Oryzias latipes: one gene and its partners. The protein of the gene in region 2 purifies or fractionates together with the protein of the main gene of each other region. This does not show direct contact. Links are inferred from orthologs where the notes say so. Each region holds a gene or a part of one and is shown on either strand. Other genes may lie near its edges.

Region 1 (4,221 bases), on a different chromosome or scaffold from region 2:
ATTATATTGAACCGCATAAATCTAATTTATTTAATTGTATTACTGATAACTAATGAAGACATTGAACATTTTATTGTTTTGTGACATTCTTCTTTCCTACTGTAGATGCAATGACGGCATAATTGGGTACATTGGTACCAGCAGATACAAAAGCAAAGGATGCAAAGAAAAAAAGCAACGGGAATCTGCAGTCTGGCTAAGAGGAGCACTTTCTTAACTCAGCCAGAGCTCACAGATCAGCCGTTAGCTCTCATGTCTCATTGGTTGCTATGACAACATTAAACAACTTAACCTTCATAACCTTTGGTCAATGGCCAGTTTCATGACCTACTTTCAGGCAAGCTTTAGCTGTTAGACAGATGACCTCACAATGGACTCTAAAAGAGGCTGCTATATAGGAACTTTCACAGTCAATCCAATAATGACAAGATGGAAAGGACAGGTGTCAATCAAACTTAAATCATCACACCTCCACCATGCTTAATAGTTGGGCCATTGTTTTTTAGTTTTTTGATCATATGTAGCAAACAGCCAGAATCCTCTTTAACTGCAAATCTGAATTGCATTTGTTGAGACGATGTCTTGCAGCCCAAACTAGCAGGCTTGTTTATTTTGTTAAATAAAGAAAACTAAAATGAATAAAACTTCCAAGTTGAATTTTTGATTTAATCCGATTAAGGCCCAAAGGACCATACAGTCACAAGTCCTGCCAACCCGTGCATACACATTCATGGTCACAGAGCTGCAATGCAAGGCACTAGACAAACCTCCTGGAGCAATGTGGGGTTCAGTGTCTTGTCCAAGGACACTTTGACACATGGGCAGACAAAGCAGGAACCCAAACTGCAACCAGTTCTGTTACTCTACCTCTACACCAAACATTTTCTGTTCATGCTTTCTATTGTGCTTCCAAAGTCACAACTCTATTGAAGGTCAGCTTTTCGTGTACTTAAGCAATGGCTCCAATGGAAGATTTAATTCAATTGAATTTTATCTATATAGCCCAATAATACAAAATAGTTGTCTCAACAGGCTTTATACCGGTAATTGTATCAGAACATGAAATCAGTCGTAAAATACAACAGGCAATCGTTAACAAAACTAAACAGACTAAACTAAACTGGGCATTCCTACCCTTAGACCCTAATGCCTCCTATTATCCTAATATCAATGAGAGTTGAAAACTAGAGTCAAATTAACCTCATGGAAACCATTGGGTCATGTGACCACACCGCCTCTCTATTAGATCCATGCACAGTCATTGTTAGCTCCACGGCACTGCACGTCCAATCCCAGTCCTTGAAAACAGGTGTCCTGCTCGTTTTTCTGACGCCCCTGCCCCCTCTACTGGAGAACCAGGTGGGTTCCACCAGGGGTACAAGGGATAAGAAAATCCAGACTCTAGCCATGAAGAACGAAACGGAACACCCGGCTAGTATTTCATATGAACTTAATAAAGCATGATTTGGCAAAAATGTGTACTGCGTTTCTCACAGATCACTAATCTCCCTTGTGTTGTTGAGTCATTTGATGAGTAAACTTCCCCATTCCACTTGTATAAAGTTGTTTTTAAATAAATAAATAAAGATAAGAATAAAATAAAAATAAGAATTCTCCCTTTCATTAATTTTGTTTTTAAAATGATCTCGACACCCTAACACTTGAAGAAACCAACAAGGCCTCTAATATTTCCAATCGCTGGAGAAGTTTTAAAGTGTGCAAAAAAAGTAAATTACTTTGAAGAAAGGGTTTACAGCTCCATAAACGCTTGTTTATTGAAGCACAATTTATTTTATGTAAATTTGAAATTGATATACAACCTTAAATGTGTGTTCTCTGTTGGGCTTCCATATTTTTACCCTACATGCATCTGTCCTTTCCTCACCTTGTGGAGCAAATGTCATAAAGATGCTCAGCTGGATGTTGGAGGAACTTTTTTAGTATTTAATGACAGACTTTCTAAATATTAACAATCCAAAACCAAATATTATCAATCCTATAGCGTCTTTAAAGGGTGAAAGGGTAAGTAAAACCTAAGATGTCCAATCAAACTTTGAATGTGCCACCATTAGAGCTTTAGGCCCATAAAAACATGCAAAGTCTTACTTTGAACATCTGGCCTAAAAGTTTCTTCTGATTCATTAAAGTTCCAGAAAATCTAAAAACATTTAAAGCATCCCTGAAGAGGCAGCGAGTGAACAGAGATGGCTGTCATGTTTAAGCTGTTCGCGGCAGTTTGGTCTCTAGTAGATGATTACAAAGAAAGCGAGCGGACTCCCGAGGAATGCAGTTTTACGACCCGGAACAGGAGTGCGAGACGTTCACATCAGTGTGAACGCTCTCCCGGCGCACACATACTTAGGTTTTTACCTTTCCGCGGAGCTTCTTTTCTACTTCCCCGATCCTTGAAAACACCTAAACATGCCGTTTCCCTTTCCCGTTGGACAGAAGCAGTGCCCCCCTTCTCTTCAACCAAACTCCTCCGCAGGAAACCTGAGGCGGCTCAGTCCTGGAAGTCTCCGGAGGTCTCCATGAGTTTCTGCGCGGACACGACGTCTCGCTCCTTCCCATCAAATTTCATTCTCCGCCGTGGAAGAACAAGAACGTTTAAAAAAAAAAAAAGTGGCAGGAAGCTCCCTCCAGGCTGGCCCTGCAGCATGACAGGAATTTCCAGCCCCCTCCCTCCCCAAACGTCCTCCTACATCTAATGGAAACTGGATGAAAAAAACTTTTTTCTTCCCCTTTTTTGTAAGGGAGCACGGAGAGCCGTCCTACTCCCGTTTCCTAATCTAATCAGTCACATTCTTTTAAAACAGACACACAAGGGGGCAGCTCACTGGAACTCCAAACCTTATGTTACGACGCACTTATTTATTAGTTTATTAAGACCAACATGGAGGGAGTGGTTTCTAAAGATAAATATGTGCATTCTCTACAACAAGTTTAATAAAAGTGCTTTGATGTGCTCGTTTAGCTGAAACAACTCGGCTTGTACTAATGCTACGTTCCTCCATGACACAGCAATAAGGAGAGAAAAGAAAGTTGCCCCGACCTGAGGGGGGGAGGAGGGGAGAAACGGAAAAATGACAAAGGGGCTTTGTGACTGCAGCTCCTCCGCTGCCTTCAGGAGCCCGCGCGGAAAGTAGGAAAAGTCAAGAGTCAATGCACGTGCCAAACTCACCCGGAGGTTGTTTTCTCCTATCAAAAACCCAAACTATTTAGACTTAGAACATGATTCGAATGCGAATGGGGTGTCTCAGAAAAACGTGGGACACTGGAACAAGAACGAGTTGGTTCTACAGAATCTTAGACACAGTTGAACCGCTTTATCTTCAATTCGTACCCAGGGTGGCTCAGCAAAGATTCCCAACGTTTTAAGCAAAAACAAATTATTTTGTGACATTTTTCGATATAAGTACTTGACCCCACCGCAACATTGCATTTGGATAATGATCCACTGTACTTCTTTCTAACAAGAACTTTTACCCTATATCAATTTTTTTAATATATATATATTTCAAACAAATAAAGAAAAGCCATTTGATTATGTAGAGTAGATACACAAAAAGGGCCATTTTAGCAACCCACTACATCCTAACCCTAAACATTAACATACTAAAGTTTTAGCCCAAGTATAGTCCATCCTAAAAGTGAGGCAGTATACTTGAAGTTTGCTTTTTATATACTATATTATAAACATATAGTTTTCCAATTTAGTATGCAGAAGTATTCAGTTAGTATAGGCTACTTCCTACATAACAAATACATGGTCTATAGCAAACTTTTAGCAAAGAGAGCCAGATTTGGTGATGTGAAAATATTTGAGGGCCATTTATTCAGCCTGACAATCCATTAACTATTTTAGTAACATTAAATGCAAGTGAAATATTTAATGAACATTTTTGTAATAGCATACTTTTCATTTCTTCACATAGAAAACAAACACATTTAAATACATATTTGCAAAAATTACTGCAAGTTGTGCACACCGTTCAGTCCCAGTCGGCTTGTTGTAGTTACTATGTCTTGCCTGGTAGTCCCTCATGATAGTCTTTTGAAACAGCCACGGTGTCTTGGCATAAGAGGCAGACATAGTTGTTTCCTATTTTACTGAAAAATATGCCCCTTCCCACTTGTCCTGGAAATGGTTGCTATCACTGTCATTTACAGTTAACATTTTAGAAATGAGCTACAAAGTGTCAAAGATGGGTCGCATGACAG
Region 2 (4,051 bases):
GCTCTACTTTACATACAGTGTAAAAAGAAAAAAGAAAGAAGAGATTGTTCCATTTCCCTCAGCGATTGAAAGAAAATTGTTCTTTTCAAGATTCTTGGGAAAAATCGTGGCACCTTTTATGTTCGCAGCTATTTTCTAAAGTGGACTTTCTGCAGGCCTTTTCTGGATCAAATCTGTCTGTGTGTGAAGCACAGAGATGAGTTTAATTCAACAGATTTATCAGGATTTTAATGTCGCATTTGGGGGTTTTCTTCTTGTCAATAGGTCTGTTTAGTTGTACAGAGCAACCTCTGGTCAATATAGGCGTCTCATTTCAGGCTTCATTTTTGTCTATTAGAAATTTGTGTTTGACATCATAGATGGTCACTTCACTGTTTGTGTATGTTTATCGCTAATTATACAAAAAAAAAAATGTTCCTTAATGAAATAAAAAACAGACCATTTCAAAACACTCCCCTGTAAAACAAACTTATCATAAATGGAAAACAAAGTAGCATACGTCAACAAACAAGGGATCCTGGAAAACCTCTTAATTCAATGTTTAAAGTTCCTTTTTGTTTTTTTTTAGAGGGGAGTCGATAGAAAATGATCTGCCTCTGAAACCAGCTTCTACTGGTCATTTTAGGAACTGCAACATTTAATATTTTCAGGAATTCTTACATTTGGTAACTGGATATTTTAATTAAAAGCAAAAAAAAAAAAAAAAAAAGAAATCAAAGAACAAAGGGACCCTGGGAATCTACCTGTAGGGTGTAAATTTGTGGTTTTTCAAATTGGAGAGTCATTGGAAAATCCCCTACCTCTGAAACCAGCCTCTAGTGGTCATTTTAGGAACTGCAGTATTTAGTTCTTTAGGGTTTGTCTCACATTTGGTAACTGGACGCTTAAATTCAAAGCAAAAAACATTTTTTTAAACTGATCCTGGGAAGCACATCTGTAAATTTAGGGTCTAAATTTGTAGTTTCGTAGGAGGGGAGTCAATAGAAAACGACCTCCCTCTGATACCAGCCTCTAGTGGTCATTTTTGAAACTACAACATTTTCTTTTATTGTTATTTTAATATTTTCTTAAAGATCGAGGTAAATAGAAATAAAAGCTATATTTTATAATTTTGTTGTATACTTCATAATTGCTATTTTGTCGCAGTCTTAAGTTTAATGCTTTTTTGCAGGATAAATGGGTCTCAGGATAACTGCCTGTACCTTTAACTCATCCCAGTTGGAGTGTGGCCCCGCCCCCTTTGCGCAGACGTCCCATGAGCCATAAAGTTTTATGTCCTGCTCAAAGTTTAGGCTAACAGGAGGAAACTTTTTTTCGGGGCAGTGAGCGGCACAGATTTGCGCTGAGTCTGCCTTGGAAAATTCCTGGGGAGGAAAAAGTTTTGAAACTTTTCCGAAATTGGGAATGCCGGGACTTCTTTTTACTGCCTGAACTTTGGTGGTGTTACCTTTTTTTTTTTTTTTTTCACCAACTTTTGCGGCACTTTTTTTCTGAAGGGGGGGGGAGTAAAAGCTGGGTCCGGACGACAATACAGATTCCAGAGTGGAGCAGATATGCGCTTTGTTTTATGTACAAGTATGTCAGCTGGGAAAAGCCAAGGAAAGCGGCCTTTCTCTGCTGATTTTGACAGCTAACATCGTTCGAAAACAGCCTCGCGGCGGTCCGCTCGAAAAAGTAGACCGACGTTAAAAAGTCATGACTTTGCAAAACTTTTACTAAGTTTCGTTAGAAGTTAAAGATTTGACAAAAAAAAAAAAAAAGTTCGGGGACGGCTCGAACCGCCTTTGAAAAGTTTCGTAACTCAACGTTTTCGGGCCGCAAAGAGTTCGCAGAGCGCTTGTGGAACAATGGATCCGAGCCAGCACAACCCTCCTGTCGGACACCAGATCGTTCACGTTCGGGGCGACTCGGAAACGGACCTGGAGGCGCTTTTCAACGCCGTGATGAACCCCAAGGGCGCCGTCGTGCCCCAGTCCGTGCCCATGAGGATGAGGAAGCTGCCGGACTCCTTCTTCAAGCCCCCGGAGCCCAAGTCCCATTCCAGACAAGTAAGACCCCCCCCCTCCAATCCCGCGGGGGCCCCGGCCTAAACACGGCCACCTCTGCTCAAAACAACCGCTCCATCTAGTTTTTTTGTTAAAATCACGATTTTAGTCCGTTTTTTTAAATGTATTGTAAGCGCAAATTATAATTTTAATTAAAAGAAAATCATCAAAACATTAAAAAAAAGTTTAAACGTTTTGCAAGAAATGTGGATACATTTATTTGAACATAAAACTTTATTGCGAAACTTTGTTAATTCATTTATAAACAGTCATTTAAAGGTTAGTTAGATATACTTTTTATTTTATTTTAATACAGCTTCAATATAGAAATCATATGATGATTGGATTTACCCCATCAACCCCTCCCTCCCAATTTCCCCTTTCGACTGCTTACCGAAGTTTTGTAACTAGTGCGCATGCGCCGTGCAGGCCCTCTGGTGCCTTGGATTATCTCTGTGGGCCCTGACACAAGTTGGATGCACATCCAGATGACTCAACAGTGTTCAAGTCTGACTTAATGATCATTTTTTTTTCATTTTTTAGAGATTTTTCATTATGCTGCTGTTTTATAATACAGTCCAAAATGAATCACTGTGATACTCCTCATTGGGACAAACAAGATAAATAATGTCTTTGTCTTTGTCGCTAATAAACTAGATATAATGCAGAAGTACTGCAAATTTTTTTTTTGGGGGGGGGGGTCCTAGACAAACAAAAAACAAAAAAAAACTAAATAAAACCCCCACCTGCCAACTTTACTATTTGTTGTTTATCCCCCCCATATATGTTTACATTTCAAATAAAAAAGCTTGTCTTTATGCATTTATTTTTGAAAGCACGCATAAACTGTAATAAAAACTAGAAGAACTTCAGAAGAAGACTAAACAATTCCAAACCCAGCCCACAAAACATACAGTTTATAGATATTAGGAAACGAGACAAAACATGTATGTAGTCACAGATGATCATTCAATGAAAAATACAGTTTATAGGGGACTAAAGCAAGCAGGTCCTCTAAAGGTACATGAAAATATGTGACATTTAGTTATCAATGTATTGAAACAATGTAAAAAAATAAATAAAACATCTTCTTTGTAACTCAGGCTAGCACTGATGCTGGGAGTGGCGGCGTGCTCACCCCCCACCACGTACGCGCACACTCGTCTCCAGCTTCCCTGCAGCTGGGCGCCGTTTCGGGTGGCTCCCTGTCTGGGATGGCCTCAGCAGGCGCCTCCCCCCAACATCTCCGGCAGTCGTCCTACGAGATTCCCGACGACGTGCCCCTGCCGCCAGGCTGGGAGATGGCCAAGACCAGCTCCGGCCAGAGATACTTTCTCAAGTAAGTGTGCAATCTAACAGCGTGTGCATAAAAGTGAACGGGGCTGGAATCGAAAACGGGTGGACAGCAGACGGTAACATCTGGACACCAAAATGGGTCTCGTTTCTTCGTCGAGAGGAGTACGAACTCAAAGCCTGGAGGCATTTAAAAACTGTCAAGGTTCCATAACCTTTCTTCCAAAACATAATTTGCAGAATGCACCTGTTAATGGGACTCTAATGTTCCACCGATTAGGTTAACGCCCATAAAAAAACGGACCAAAGCGAGTCCAACAGATGTGGAACAGGTGTTGTTTTCGTCCAACCTGCAGAACATCTGTTGCACAGACTGTACATGCGAGGCACTGAATGCCCCATCGAGTGTGGCTTTCAAAATATCCCCGTGTGATGAGTTGCACCCAAACATTCAAAGAGTTCTCCCAGCAGATCTTTGATTTCTGCGCCAGGGTCCACGTGCAGCAAAGACCTCCAGAAATCCTTCTGGTTCTCTTTGGTTTCAAGATGGCGGCGGACATCATCGGGCCGGAAGCAGAAATCATACAACTAATCCTAACCCAAAAGTGTTCGGAATTGTAGCCAAAACTTCTACCAAGGCTTCAAATGAGAGAAATCGTAACTGTTGTCAGTTAAAATGAAAATTCTCTGAGCGATAATGGTGGACTTTCCAA
Region 3 (4,090 bases), on a different chromosome or scaffold from region 2:
ACTTCCTTCCCGATTCTTCCAAGTCCAACTATTCCTAGAACTTTGCCATACAGCTCTGAACCCATGAACTGCAGTGAAGGGAATAAAGCACCCAAAATCCAAACAATGAGAACCCAAGTGTCAGATGTGATTATTAACCAGCGGATGAACAGTGGAACCATCCATGCAACAGCAATTGCTTTATGAGCCGAAGCAAACGAAGGGCTAGATGGAAAGCCTCTGTTTACCTTTTTACGGTCCCAGTTCCCTTCTTTCATTGACATTACAGCTTGAGGCACATTCCTAAAATTAAACAAAAAAATTCTGATTAACAATCCCCTTGCTAATAGCAGGTCTGCTTACCGATGGTAGAAGAAAGGTACAGTTTGTACCTTGAAAGGCTCATCAGCAGTGCACATGTCAGCTCAGCGGCACTAATTGTGTTACCGCTTGGTGTGCTGGGAAAAAACAGTGGAAAGTTACACTGGGCCCTTCACGGTGACCAGAATCAGTATTTAAAACTGGGGACTCACTTCATGACAATGATGCCCTTATGGGTAGCAGCATTTACGTCCACATTATCCACACCGGTCCCAGCTCTCCCGATGATCTTGAGATTATGAGCGGCACTGATGATGTCAGCTGTTACTTTTGTTGCAGATCTGACCACAAGGCCATCATAGAGCTAAAATGTAAAGAAGTGATCAAAAGGCAGATGAACAAAACAGCTGTGATGTATAAAAATTTTACCCCACTTTATTATGAAATCCACTTAAATCCTGAATGCTGTTCAACAACATGACCATAACAAAAACTGTTTATAATTTATTTTGTGCCTAGGACTAACTTCTGATTAGCCGACTATAATGAAAATGGTGTTTTTGGTGTTTTTAACATGTTCTTGTGGCATTTTTCTGATGATGGAGGACATGTATAAAGATAATTCAGCGTAAAACTGCATTTCTGAGTATTTCTTTATTCAAATCACTGTGAATTTGGAGCAGATGCTGCTTAAAAGGGGCTTATTTGTGACGTCGAAATATGCAAGGTGGGATCACTATTAAAATAGCTTAAAAGATGATCAGAGGAGGTCTTTTAAAAATTTAGCTCTGTTATTTTTTGATTAACCACTAAAAATATAATTCTTGCAATCAGAACTTCAACTTATTGATCCTTTATATTGCATTTTTTTTAAAAGGAAGAAAAAAAAGTTACTTGTGCATTTGTGTTACCACTGTATTTTGTGGTTTAGGAGCATTAGCACAACACATGAAAAGTAGCACACTACAAATTAGCAACAGACAGAATATTATGTGTGCATAAAACATGAACGAGTAAGCTATCTTTGCTGTAATGCTCTACAGTAACTTGTGATTGAAGAACTTTTTCCTTCAAAGTCCCTCTCCGATCAGAAAATCAAAAAACCTGTGACATTTTCTAGGACATACTTTCTGCAGAGCTGTAGTAGTTCATTAGAAATTTGCTTCTGAGCTGTGGGCGGGACTGTTGGCTTGGGAGTAAGCCGGCCCCCTTCCAATCTGTTTACATGCTTTCCCACTAGTTTACAGCCCCTCCCACCCTCAACAAAAAATTACTGGTGCAAAAAATTAGCTAGCAATATTGGAGCTATCCAGCTGTACAGTTTTGAGCCAGATGCCAGCTCAGACCAGGAAAACAAAGACGTTCATGGATCTCTTTGTCTGCAAGTGGATGCATTAGAATAGATCGGAACAGGGGGCTTGTGGCTTGCCTTGGTAGCGTCTGCATCGCAAATCTTTTTCGCGATTGCCTGATTCACAATTATTTGAATAAAGAAAGACTCAGAAAATGCTATTTTAGGCTTAAATTTCTCAAAGTTTGTCCTCCATCATGAGAAAATGCAGCAAGAACATGTTAAAATGCCAAAAACACGATTTACATCAGAGTGGATCTTTAACTATAGATGTTCAATAAATTTACAGCTTTATAGTCTTCTACCTACATTTTAAACTGAAATCTTATAAATGGTGCCCATGACTTCAATTTGGCCCAAGGACTCAAATCATGACGAATCCGGCCCTGGGAATCAGCTCCAATAACAACAGTCATTCAGATGGAGCAAATAAAAAAATAATTGAAAAAAAGTTCAGCAACTTTTCTTTTCTTTTATTAGATTGGATGTAATCTGATAAATTTTACAGTTCAAGGACACAGCTGGTTCGACGGGGGTGCGCAGAGGAATGCGTCTAAAGAAAAGTCAAAGATGAGTTGCATCAGCCTCCCGCTCTCCTATAGGGCGGAACTGAGCTGAGATCATCTGGGTAATCGGACTCCACGTGCAAAATCCAGCAAGCATGTCTCTACATGCATCCATTAAAGCACGTTATCGAGATAAAGGACGTACGCGCAGGAATACGGTGCGTGAGAGAAAAGTGCCCCGATGCCCTCGGAGCCTCCACAACAAAAGACCCGCTCTTACCCCAATCTCTGCAATCAATTCCTCTTTCTTCATGTTCTGCTTCTCCGTCACTAGGATGCCGTTTTCCTCCAGGATCGCCCTGCAGCGGGGATCGACACTTTCACTGATTAGCACGGATTTGATGGAGGTCGGGGCCATCTTGGGATTTTTCTCTGTGGGGTTGCGGATGCGGGGCAGCCGGTTAGGAGAGTTGGTGAACTGATGATGATGATGATGATGGGTCCTCTTCAGAGTTCCTCCCCCAAAACCCCTAGTCTTTTGAAACGGCTTTCTCCAAGCTGAAAGCATGCGTGGTCCCGCCTCCCGCACATCACCCGTTCAGGCGTGACTGGAGATGAATTCGAAGAGTCACTCTTTAGAGCTCTGCCAGCAGAAAACCCACTGAAAAAAAGCACCTCTTTTTGCAAAATGAAGAACCAAAACAGCTGCGATGGTTATAGTTTTATGTAGGAACTCATGAACTAGCGCAATAGTTGTAACCCAAGTGGCTTTTAATTTAAAAAAGGGCAAAAAAATGTAGGAAATACAATGGATAAAGGAGTGAAAACTGTGTGTACTGCTAATTGCTGGAGAGATTCTATAATGTAAGCACTAATATTGAATAAATAACTTTATTGGTGCTGAATTAACTGAAGAAGATGGGGAAAAAACAAAAACAAACAAAGAAAATCTGGTCTAAATAGCAGAGGATGCTACAACTTCCAAAGGTGCCAGAATAACGACATAATGGTGAAACAGGTAGAAAAAAAAAACAATATTGTTTTAAAAATGTTATAGATAATCATAAAAAAATCTTAAATTGTTTGAAAAAAATCTAAAAGGAAATAAATGTGTAAAATTGAAATTGGAAAAACAAAAAACTCAATAGCAATAGTTGCTTATGATAATTATTTAGTTAGTAATGCAAAAGCCAGGGGTTATATAAGTTTGCCCCCTCCCATTCCCTTTCACGCAATCAATTCAACTACTTTGGTCAAACCTAATTGTTTCTTTGTGTGATGCAAAAGAGCTAATGATTAAGAGTAATAAAAAAATTTTTTTATGTGGATGTATGCACATTTTCCAATCAATTTTATGACTAATTATCCCATATTTGATATATTTCTGCATAGATTTCAGTTGTTTGTTTTGTTTTTTGCTTTCTTTTGCTTTGATATATACACTGTATATGCCACAAGTAACTTTTTAAAGTGTTGACAAAAATAAGAACTATAAAGCCAAAAATCTACAGAATCGATAAAAGTCCAAATTATCTTTTTTGCAGAAAGTATTCTATCTTTCTTTTTTCAATTTGAGAACAAAGTTTCAACAAGGAATTTGTATCTTAAAAGGGACCATAAACTGAAAGTGCAAGTACAAATCTCCAGAAAGGGCAAAAAATTGAGACAAAACTTAGCGCCTCGTTTTCTATTTTCCTCTTTTACAATATTTAATGAGGGATACATATCTTATTTAGTCACTGTACCTTTAATCATGTGGTTTAAGCATGTAGCATTTCAAATGATAGTCAAAGATTTGTTACTGTGTAACGCCAGAACGAAGAGAGAAACCAAATTAAAAAGTATACTTCTTCAATTTGTCCAGAAAATCAGATCATGTGACGCTAGATTTAAGACACTGTTGATCTCCTGACTCATTAAACAGCATATGACA
Region 4 (4,156 bases), on a different chromosome or scaffold from region 2:
GGGCTGTGGATTTGGGACCCATGAGATTGCCTCCCCAATGACGACGGATCTAAGAAAAAAGAATTTCAGGAGGTTAAGGGAAAAATATGATGCAGATGCTGTAAATAACAGATTTGGACCTCACCTCCTCAAATCTGTCATTGTAGTTGGTTTTGATGGCTTCCACGAGTTTAGCAAGTGCCCCTTTATCCTCACTGTGACGAGAACAAATGTTAATGCAGCTCCAACATGCAGTGTTTTTGCATTATTTACATGTAAAAACAACTTTTTATACACATTCTAGACAAGCATTTCAAAACCTAAAGGTTAGGGTTGTGCCCCGAGATAAAAGTTTAGCTTTTGCTGATACTTACGGGTTAACTTGTGTGAAAGCCACAGAAGTGCACGTCTTTCTGTGCACCAGTCGGCCCAGTCTGGCCTTGCCCTTGACGATACAATATGGGACACCCATCTTGCGGCAGAGAGCAGGCAAGAACACGACCAGCTGAAGCAGAACATCCGAAAAGTGACAATATGTTACAAATATCCACATCAGTGGCTGTAAGGTTCAGTCAATTTTTAGAACTGATGGTCGCTGCTCAGGGTTAAAAAGCTCGTATGTTTGGATCCACACGGAGGATTCAGGTGAAGAAATTCAGACATCATTGCCAGCGACCGCAGCGCGACAAAAACCTGACACTAATCTCACCTCAATTGGATCAACATCGTGGGCGATGACAACCAGCTGAGCCTTCTTGCTCTCCACCAGAGTTGTGACAGTGTTTACACCTGGAAACAAAAGGGAATCATGACATTTACCTGTTCCATGAAAACAAACCGTCCATTCATTCACTATGGATAATGGCCAATGCTCAGGGTTAAAAAGCTCAAAAACCATCATAGAAAGTTTCAGGTGAAGAAATTCTGAACATCATTGCATAACAGCCAAAACATCAAAACTGATTTTTTTATGAACTATTTGGCACATTTTCTCTGAATTTTACCTGCACGGAGAACAGGAGGCCTCTTGGTGGGCGTGTCTCCTTTCCCAGCAGCCTTCTGTTCAGCACGAGCCAGCAGCCTCTGCTTCTTCTCCTGCTTGGTCTCTGGCCGGTACTTGTGTGCCAACTTGAAGAGCTGAGTGGCTAAAAATAAACTTTACATTACAAGTCTGACCAACGTATTAAGCACTACTTGTTGCTACAAGGAAACTGCATCAGCGATCTTGGTGGAAATGCGTCAGCATTATCATCAGATAGCAAATATTCGTTTACATCACTTGCAAAGTAAAAACTTTATTGTCAAAGGGAAAATATCACCCAATAGTGACACTTTACCAAAGATCATTACAAAGTGTTACCTGTCTGGCGGTCCAGAGCCTGAGTGAACTGGTTGATTGCAGGAGGAACCTTAAGACGCTTGTAGAGGATGGAGCGCTGCCTCTGCAGGCGCACATAACGAGGCCATTTAACAAAGCGGGTCAAATCACGCTTCGGCTGAATATCCTGGCCTGTGGACGACAAAACCCAAGAATAAGAAGAGCAATAAACACACAAACCCATTAGAATTGAACTTTTAAAAATGCATCAGCGATCTTGGTGGAAGGTCGTCATCATTAATATCAAGTTAGCAAATATTCAGTCACATCATCTGCATCAGAACCGTTTCTCCCATACCAGGAGCAGTGGATACGTACCAATGCCAAAGTTTTTGGGCCTCTTCTCAAACAGGGGGTTGACGACTTTCTTGGCCTCATGTTTTTTGGCCACGGAAGGGGCAGGTGCCACCTTCTTCCCCTTAGCCTTCTTTCCCTTGGGCTGAAAAGAACATTGTTCAACGTTAATCAAGTTCATTACCAAGTTGGAATAAAAGACATCAATTTAATTTTGTGAAATTCTCTTCAATACAAGCTGCACCCGTTGAAACAGTCAAGTAACTTAACCAAAAAGTAATTTAACAGATCATGCCATTTAAAAAAGCAACACAGTTGTTAGTCTGTATTTCAATCCTGATTCGACAATGAGGTCAATGCAAAGACATGTCAACCAGTGGTTCCCAACCCTGGTCTTCTGGAAAAACTGTCCTGCAAGTTTTCCATGTTACTCTCCTTAAGTTAAGACGTTTGATTCTACCTATCAAGCTCTGCTCAAGCCAGGTGTGTTCATCATGCATGCCGTGTTTCCCGAGGACCAGGATTGGGCAGCACTGCTCAAAATTGGGACCCTAAATTACCCATAACTGTACAAAACTCGGATCTCCACGTTCAGTCTATATTAATTATGACAATAGTACGACACGAAGCAACCAGAGTCATGACACAACAGTACAATTAGCATGTTGAAGCTAAGGTCCATTCACTCAAAACTGATAAACAACAGCCTAGTAGTTCTTCACACTTCAGTATTAGTTTAGCAATAAACGAGACAGCAAATTAAAAACAAAAAATGTTTAGAATAGAAAAATGTCCAAAGAGCTGGTCGTTTTTTAAACGTGCGTTAGCTACTTCGCCTAAGCGCTGCTGCCGGGTACGTTTCACTAAATCAAACTCAATTTTAACCATTATCCACGTCAAATCATGCTTCAATATCCACCTAGAATGAATATTAAGGATTACTACATTATGAATTGACATTAGATGAGGACATAGGAGGTATACAAACACAGATGCAACGAGATTTATCAGGCATAAGTTTTCGTCGGAAAAAGCAAGTATGTACCCACCATGTTGGTTCAGGCAGAAAGGAGGACCAAAGGATTCTGGGTAACGGAAATACCGCGAGGCTTGGAGCATCAACATGCTGCGTTTGCTGCCTCGATCCAGGATCTGATTTTTCATTTGTTTACTTTAACCTTTATTTGTGTACCAATTAGAAACCACACCAGAGAGTTATCGGTGGCATTACATTTTTAATTAAAGGTTTGCGGGGTAACACAAGTTTTTTGCCAAAACATTAACGAAATCTTCAAGGATTAGTTTCCTGGCTTAAGCAGTGAAACAGCTTCATTTGTTGGTAGTTTTTTTTTTTTTACTGCATTGTACCAAGAATGAAGTTTGGTGGAAGGGATATTATAGTGTATATATGTGTCACCATGGTGACTTTTTCAGCAGCTTGACTCACTCCCTTAATTTTACCGAAATTAATTTGACATGCTATAGCATGCCAAGATATTTTGGTTAATTTTTTGCTCTTCATTTTGTGTAAAATATATAATGATGCCTTCGCTGTTCTAATGAGATTGTGGCTAGTGCACAAAGCAAGGTCCAAGATCTTGCTTGGCAGTCCTGACCTTTAATTGATGGAGGTCAGGTTGAGATTATATGGAGTGAGTCAGCTGTTCACGTTCAACATCTTTGTCACAAATGCATTCCTGGAAGAATGGTCAAACATTCCCATCAAGACACACCTAAACTTGTGGAAAACGTTTTAAAAATGTCAATACCTCACTGCTGTGACAAGTTTCATTCATTTCATTTATTTTGAAAATAAATCCTGTTTTTTAAAATATAATCTATAATATAGATTTCTATATTAGTGTCCTTGAAGTGTACATTAAATAAAAAATAAAATAAGTCATATCTTTTTTTTTTTAATTTTTTGTGCAAAACAGAAGTATAGTACAAAGCACATTTTTACAAAATAAACTTCAAATAGGCCAGGGGAGCATACTTATTACATGCATTTTACATAAAAACATTCAAGTTTTTACAACTTTCATAGAAACATACAGCTTTCTGGCGAAGGCTTTTAGAGATGGTACTGAGATATATTTCAATTTGTTTGATTAATATGGGGAAAATAGAAGTTGAAGAAAATTTGCATTTATGAATATGACATTTTTTACTTGACCCCAAGTTTTTATTTTGAAAGCAAAAAATTATATATTCAAATTTCAGAGTGAAGTTGGGGTGAATATGTTTTTTGATAAATTGTAAACACTTTTTCCAAAAAATTCAATTTTCATTAAAGTTCCAAAAAAGATGGTCAATTGTTTCTGGATGTCATTTGCAAACATTACAGTTAGGGTCAATTGTTTTAACATATCTCAGCATGAATTGATTGCTGGGGTAGATTTTGTGAATTATTTTAAAAGAAACCTCTTTCATTTGAATATTTATCATACATTTTTGGGTCACACTCCAGCCTTTTCTCCAAAAACTGTTGGGAGCAAACCGTCT
Region 5 (4,134 bases), on a different chromosome or scaffold from region 2:
TGCTTTTCTCAGATACATATGGACCCAGCAAACGATCAGGGATTTTTCTGGTGAAAGTTTTCGGCCCCTAAGCTTCGGGATCTTTGCATCTCAATGTTTTTGTGTTTTTTCTCCCCCTCCTGGGACATTATTGTCTTAATGCAATTAAGTTTGCAGAGGAGAAAATGAGCTTTTAAATGCTCCTCGGAGAGGCTGAGAAAGCTGAAAATGTTTTTCCGTTTGACCCACTAGAAAAATGATTGGATCCAATTTAGTTTAAATAAATTTCACATATGGTGTTGGCGTCAAAACTGACCCATTTTCAAGAGAAAACGGGTCAATTATGACCCCAGTAGAATAGAAGGGTTTCCTCACGACCCTTTAATTAGACCACATGTGTCAAACTCAAGGCCCGGGGGCCAAATGTGGCCCTCCATGTCATTTAATGTGGCCCGCGAGAGCATAAAAGTTAAAAAAAAATGTAAATAAAAAAATAAAAATTGGTGTGTATTTATTCATATCTAGGGGGAATTGAACTTAAATTATTGGATTGGGCAGCTACATATTAGGACTTAAACATTGTCAATATAGTTTAGGCTATATATAGAATCAAATTTCAAAGGATTTATGCTAGAGTAACAAGCAAACATATGTTTCCTATGCAACTGTAATTGTCACTTTAAAGAGTTATAATAAATATTTTATATTTTTCATTACATTCAGTTATATCTGGCCCCTTGAGGGCAACCACTATGCGGATGTGGCCCTCGGTGAAAAGGAGTTTGACACCCCTGAATTAGACCTTCTATTGTAGGATTTGGAAGGAGCACACTATAGATGTTTTTTAGGGAAAATCTATAGAAATGAAGAGAAACTTTAAAGAAAAATGATTAAAAAAAAAACAGAAAATTGATAAACATAAAAAAAAAATGTATCCGTCCTGATGTTGCTTCCATTCTGTCTGCTGAAGCCATATTTTCAGGTCTAACTTTAACCCGCTCTGACACAGCCCAGCACTGTGCATTTATTTATACAGAATTATAAATATAACAGAAAGAACTGGTGGTCTTGCAGAATCACACTGCGCCGTCGAGGGGACTTTTTGTGGTCGCACCGACAGATTTACTGCTCAGAGGTTCATAAACAGGAGCCATGTCGATGAGGGGGAGCGCCAGTGTCAATCAGACGGCGTGCGAGGACCGATCAGCCACCTGATCGTTCGCTCACATCGGCTCTTCTGCCTACAGACCTCCACAGCGGCATGCTTTCAATTTCCTCCTCCTCACTTCTTGTCCTCCCGTGCCCCAAAAACCCCAGAGACCAGAGAGGTCTGGAGGTTAAATCAGTAATAGGTGGTGGTGATTGTTGGAAGACGCTCACTTTAAAGCACATTAGGAGCCACCCTGCTTCTGTGTGGAGAACCGGAGTAGCAGAATTTCATCACCGAGCCACTTCTATAAAACATCTTTTAAACATTTGATTTGGACGAGGAGAGGAGGGAGGGGTGAAATGTGGAGGGATTTATTAAACAGAGCCAATGTCTGGAGTCAAACAGGACAGAAAATATATTAAAAAAAACAACAACAACACATTTTTCGGCTTAAATCATAAAGATAGAAAACAAAAAACTGAAACAGAGGGTTTGACGCAGAAAGGTGGTGGTGAGAATCATTATTATGGAGGAAACAGAATTTTATTTGGTCCAAAAAAAAAAAGTGCAAATGTGAGAAACTCAGGTTTGAGGGATCGCACAGATTCATCGTCAAGTCACAAACGGGAATCTTCGTCAGCTGATGAACAGCTCTCTGGCTGCTGCGTTTATTCAGACGGATTAATTAATCCCAGCAGTCAGAGCGAACCACTTCAGGAAGCGATTACAACTAATCAATACTCGATTGCATGTAGGACACCAAAACAGCCGCAGTGCGCAGTAATCCCCCCCCACATCTTGTTTCAATGCTGGACTGTAAACTCTCAAGACCGGCGTCTGTTTACGTCTGTCAAAAATATTGCTCCCCACTTTTGTTTTTTTGGGTTTCTGCAGTGACTTTGCTTTGTAAATCCATGAGTAGGTTGCACAAACATACCATCCCGCTCTTTCAGAAGTATTTCTAAACATCAGATGGCGTAAATACTGGCATTTCTCACAGCAGTTTCTTGTTTTTTTTTTCGGAGTGTTTTCATTTGGAGTTGGCGCACCACAAAAAGCTGTGATGAGCCACAACTGCTTTGACTTTGATTACAGAGTCCTTTGGCGGGCCTCGGCGAATCTTCCTCACTCATCTGGACCCAAACCCTTCATTTGGATCCAAGACTATAAGGAAGACATCCAAAACCCCCACCGCTTGACCCCAAGTTGTCCCCGTGACCCGTCCAGGACAGTGGTACTCACCCCAGAAGAAGTTCTGCTGACATGGTCCCACTGTGCTGAAAAGACTGTTGGATGCCATAGCTGCCTCTGGTTCCAGCAAGCCCCACTTTTGCTCCTCTGTGGTTTCGGTGACCCTTGACACGTCCTAAACCAAGAGCACGCAGCATGTCATGAAGAGGAAAAAGTTGGATCCACTAAGAGCGCTTTTACGTATCAACTATTTGGATGACCGCAAATAACAACCCAGTTTGGTTTTATGAAAAAAAAAAAGAAAAAATTCAGGGGTTAATTTCGCCTTTGCGGATGGATCAGTTGCTGTCGGACTTGCTTGCTTGGCGAGTGTGGTTGGAACGTACTTACTCGCTCAGCGTCGTCCTTGTGAGTGGTGCTGGCCGGCGACGATTAACCATTTACGCTCCGAGTCGCCCTCAAACACAAACCCCTGAGCCGCACGTCTGTGGTTCTGTGGTTGTTTGGGAGGTGAGCAGAGCCCTCACACAACCCAAAAGGCACCAGCTTTAAAACTCGTCTCTTTCCTGCCCTCCATGTGCCGTCACTGGAGACCCTGGGTCACATGCCCTCTCACGTCATCACGGCACAGCAGCTGAGTGGGACAGCCCACCGTTGTGGCTTTCCCTCCTCTCCTCAGAGTTTTCACCTCCCTCCTCTCCTGCTCCTCTCCGCGTAGCACGGCGGCGTTTTCCAGCCTCTCTGGGGACCTGGGTCTGACGCTCCCATGAGTCAGGAGGGTTCAGTGGGGGGCAGCTTGTTCAACCGCCTGTGCCCACCTCGGCATATGGGGAGCAGTGCTTTCTGCCCCCGCTCCACTCTGCTCCTCAGCTCCTTTTGCAGGCGGCTGTGCTGCTCCCGTCTGCCTTTGAGCAGAGAGAGCTGAGCTCGGTAAGATTTGAGGGTGTGAGCGAGGCGGGAACGGCTGGCGGCGTTAGACTGGGTGTGAGCGTCTGAGGGGGGGTTGTGCGAGCATGTGCAGCAGAAAGAGCGGCAAAGGAGACGAGAGCTGCTGTGACGCTGCTTATTTACAGAGCCAGTCACTTTCACAGCGTGGGATGCCGCTCTGCTGCAAACAGCACTCATGTCATGGTGTCATGCACTAATGGACGTGTTTGTGTGCTGGCTGTGAGATGTGATTGGCTCAGAGAGGGGGATGGCTTCCTGTAAAGAGTCATAGATCACCTGTCTTCACAGTAAAATACAGGCTGTGGCACACAAACAGTCACATTAACGCAGACGCTCCTGCCAAAAAGACAAAAAAAAAGAAAACTTCCACCAAGTGAGCAGGCAGGTCGGGACAATCGGGGATGAATCACGCGCTGCTTCCCACAAACGCCGCCACACATCCCAGCATGCTTAACCTTTGATCAGCGATCACAGGTGTTTGATACAAATCAGAAATGCAGACAAGACAGACGCAAAGGAATGCCAGGAATGGAAGCAGGAGCAGTGTCAGATCATTTTGGGATCCCTGAGTCAGTGGACCATATCTTCTGCACTATAAAGCCACGTTCACATAACCCTCTGCATATCGCGTTCAAGCGGCCACTTCCAACGAAAAGTCTGCGTAAACACGTTTCAGGCTTCTTCGCTCACAACTTTACTGTTAACGCGTAGCTACACAAGTTTCTACGACTGTTTTTGGGGATCTATGCACAAGCCGCGTGCAAGTTTAAGTGCTTGCAACTTCCTTACAAACACTTCAGGATACACTTACCACACATGACGATGGTTCTACCATTTTCATCAAGCCCCTACAGGTGGCCTTACGA

What was found. The genes of interacting proteins can lie anywhere in the genome.
Region 1: the proteins of yap1 (region 2) and angiomotin purify together in Homo sapiens (affinity purification with western blotting; 17 studies listed by BioGRID and IntAct, with this or other methods). This does not show direct contact. The link is inferred for Oryzias latipes from reciprocal best matches to the Homo sapiens genes YAP1 and AMOT.
Region 3: the proteins of yap1 (region 2) and phgdh purify together in Homo sapiens (affinity purification with mass spectrometry, with the first as the bait; 4 studies listed by BioGRID). This does not show direct contact. The link is inferred for Oryzias latipes from reciprocal best matches to the Homo sapiens genes YAP1 and PHGDH.
Region 4: the proteins of yap1 (region 2) and rpl7a purify together in Homo sapiens (affinity purification with mass spectrometry, with the first as the bait; 3 studies listed by BioGRID). This does not show direct contact. The link is inferred for Oryzias latipes from reciprocal best matches to the Homo sapiens genes YAP1 and RPL7A.
Region 5: the proteins of yap1 (region 2) and runx2 purify together in Homo sapiens (affinity purification with western blotting; 4 studies listed by BioGRID and IntAct, with this or other methods). This does not show direct contact. The link is inferred for Oryzias latipes from reciprocal best matches to the Homo sapiens genes YAP1 and RUNX2.

What each region holds. Positions count from the first base shown.
Region 1 is NC_019872.2:12,828,790-12,833,010, forward strand, and holds the start of angiomotin, read right to left. Parts: upstream 2,801-4,221; 5' UTR 2,371-2,800; intron 1-2,370.
Region 2 is NC_019871.2:6,488,603-6,492,653, forward strand, and holds the start of yap1 (transcriptional coactivator YAP1), read left to right. Parts: upstream 1-1,251; 5' UTR 1,252-1,847; coding exon 1,848-2,048; intron 2,049-3,148; coding exon 3,149-3,384; intron 3,385-4,051. UniProt on the Homo sapiens protein: Transcriptional regulator with dual roles as a coactivator and corepressor. Critical downstream regulatory target in the Hippo signaling pathway, crucial for organ size control and tumor suppression by restricting proliferation and promoting apoptosis.
Region 3 is NC_019879.2:21,728,517-21,732,606, reverse strand, and holds the start of phgdh (D-3-phosphoglycerate dehydrogenase), read right to left. Parts: upstream 2,801-4,090; 5' UTR 2,726-2,800; coding exon 2,438-2,725; intron 665-2,437; coding exon 513-664; intron 438-512; coding exon 372-437; intron 283-371; coding exon 228-282; intron 69-227; coding exon 1-68. UniProt on the Homo sapiens protein: Catalyzes the reversible oxidation of 3-phospho-D-glycerate to 3-phosphonooxypyruvate, the first step of the phosphorylated L-serine biosynthesis pathway.
Region 4 is NC_019870.2:7,756,639-7,760,794, reverse strand, and holds the start of rpl7a (60S ribosomal protein L7a), read right to left. Parts: upstream 2,801-4,156; 5' UTR 2,704-2,800; coding exon 2,701-2,703; intron 1,797-2,700; coding exon 1,676-1,796; intron 1,635-1,675; exon of another isoform or gene 1,562-1,634; intron 1,490-1,561; coding exon 1,340-1,489; intron 1,264-1,339; exon of another isoform or gene 1,192-1,263; intron 1,125-1,191; coding exon 984-1,124; intron 920-983; exon of another isoform or gene 847-919; intron 769-846; coding exon 689-768; intron 651-688; exon of another isoform or gene 574-650; intron 485-573; coding exon 354-484; intron 195-353; coding exon 125-194; intron 50-124; coding exon 1-49.
Region 5 is NC_019882.2:3,136,870-3,141,003, reverse strand, and holds the start of runx2 (runt-related transcription factor 2), read right to left. Parts: upstream 2,801-4,134; 5' UTR 2,711-2,800; intron 2,658-2,710; exon of another isoform or gene 2,496-2,657; 5' UTR 2,430-2,495; coding exon 2,372-2,429; intron 1-2,371. UniProt on the Homo sapiens protein: Transcription factor involved in osteoblastic differentiation and skeletal morphogenesis. Essential for the maturation of osteoblasts and both intramembranous and endochondral ossification.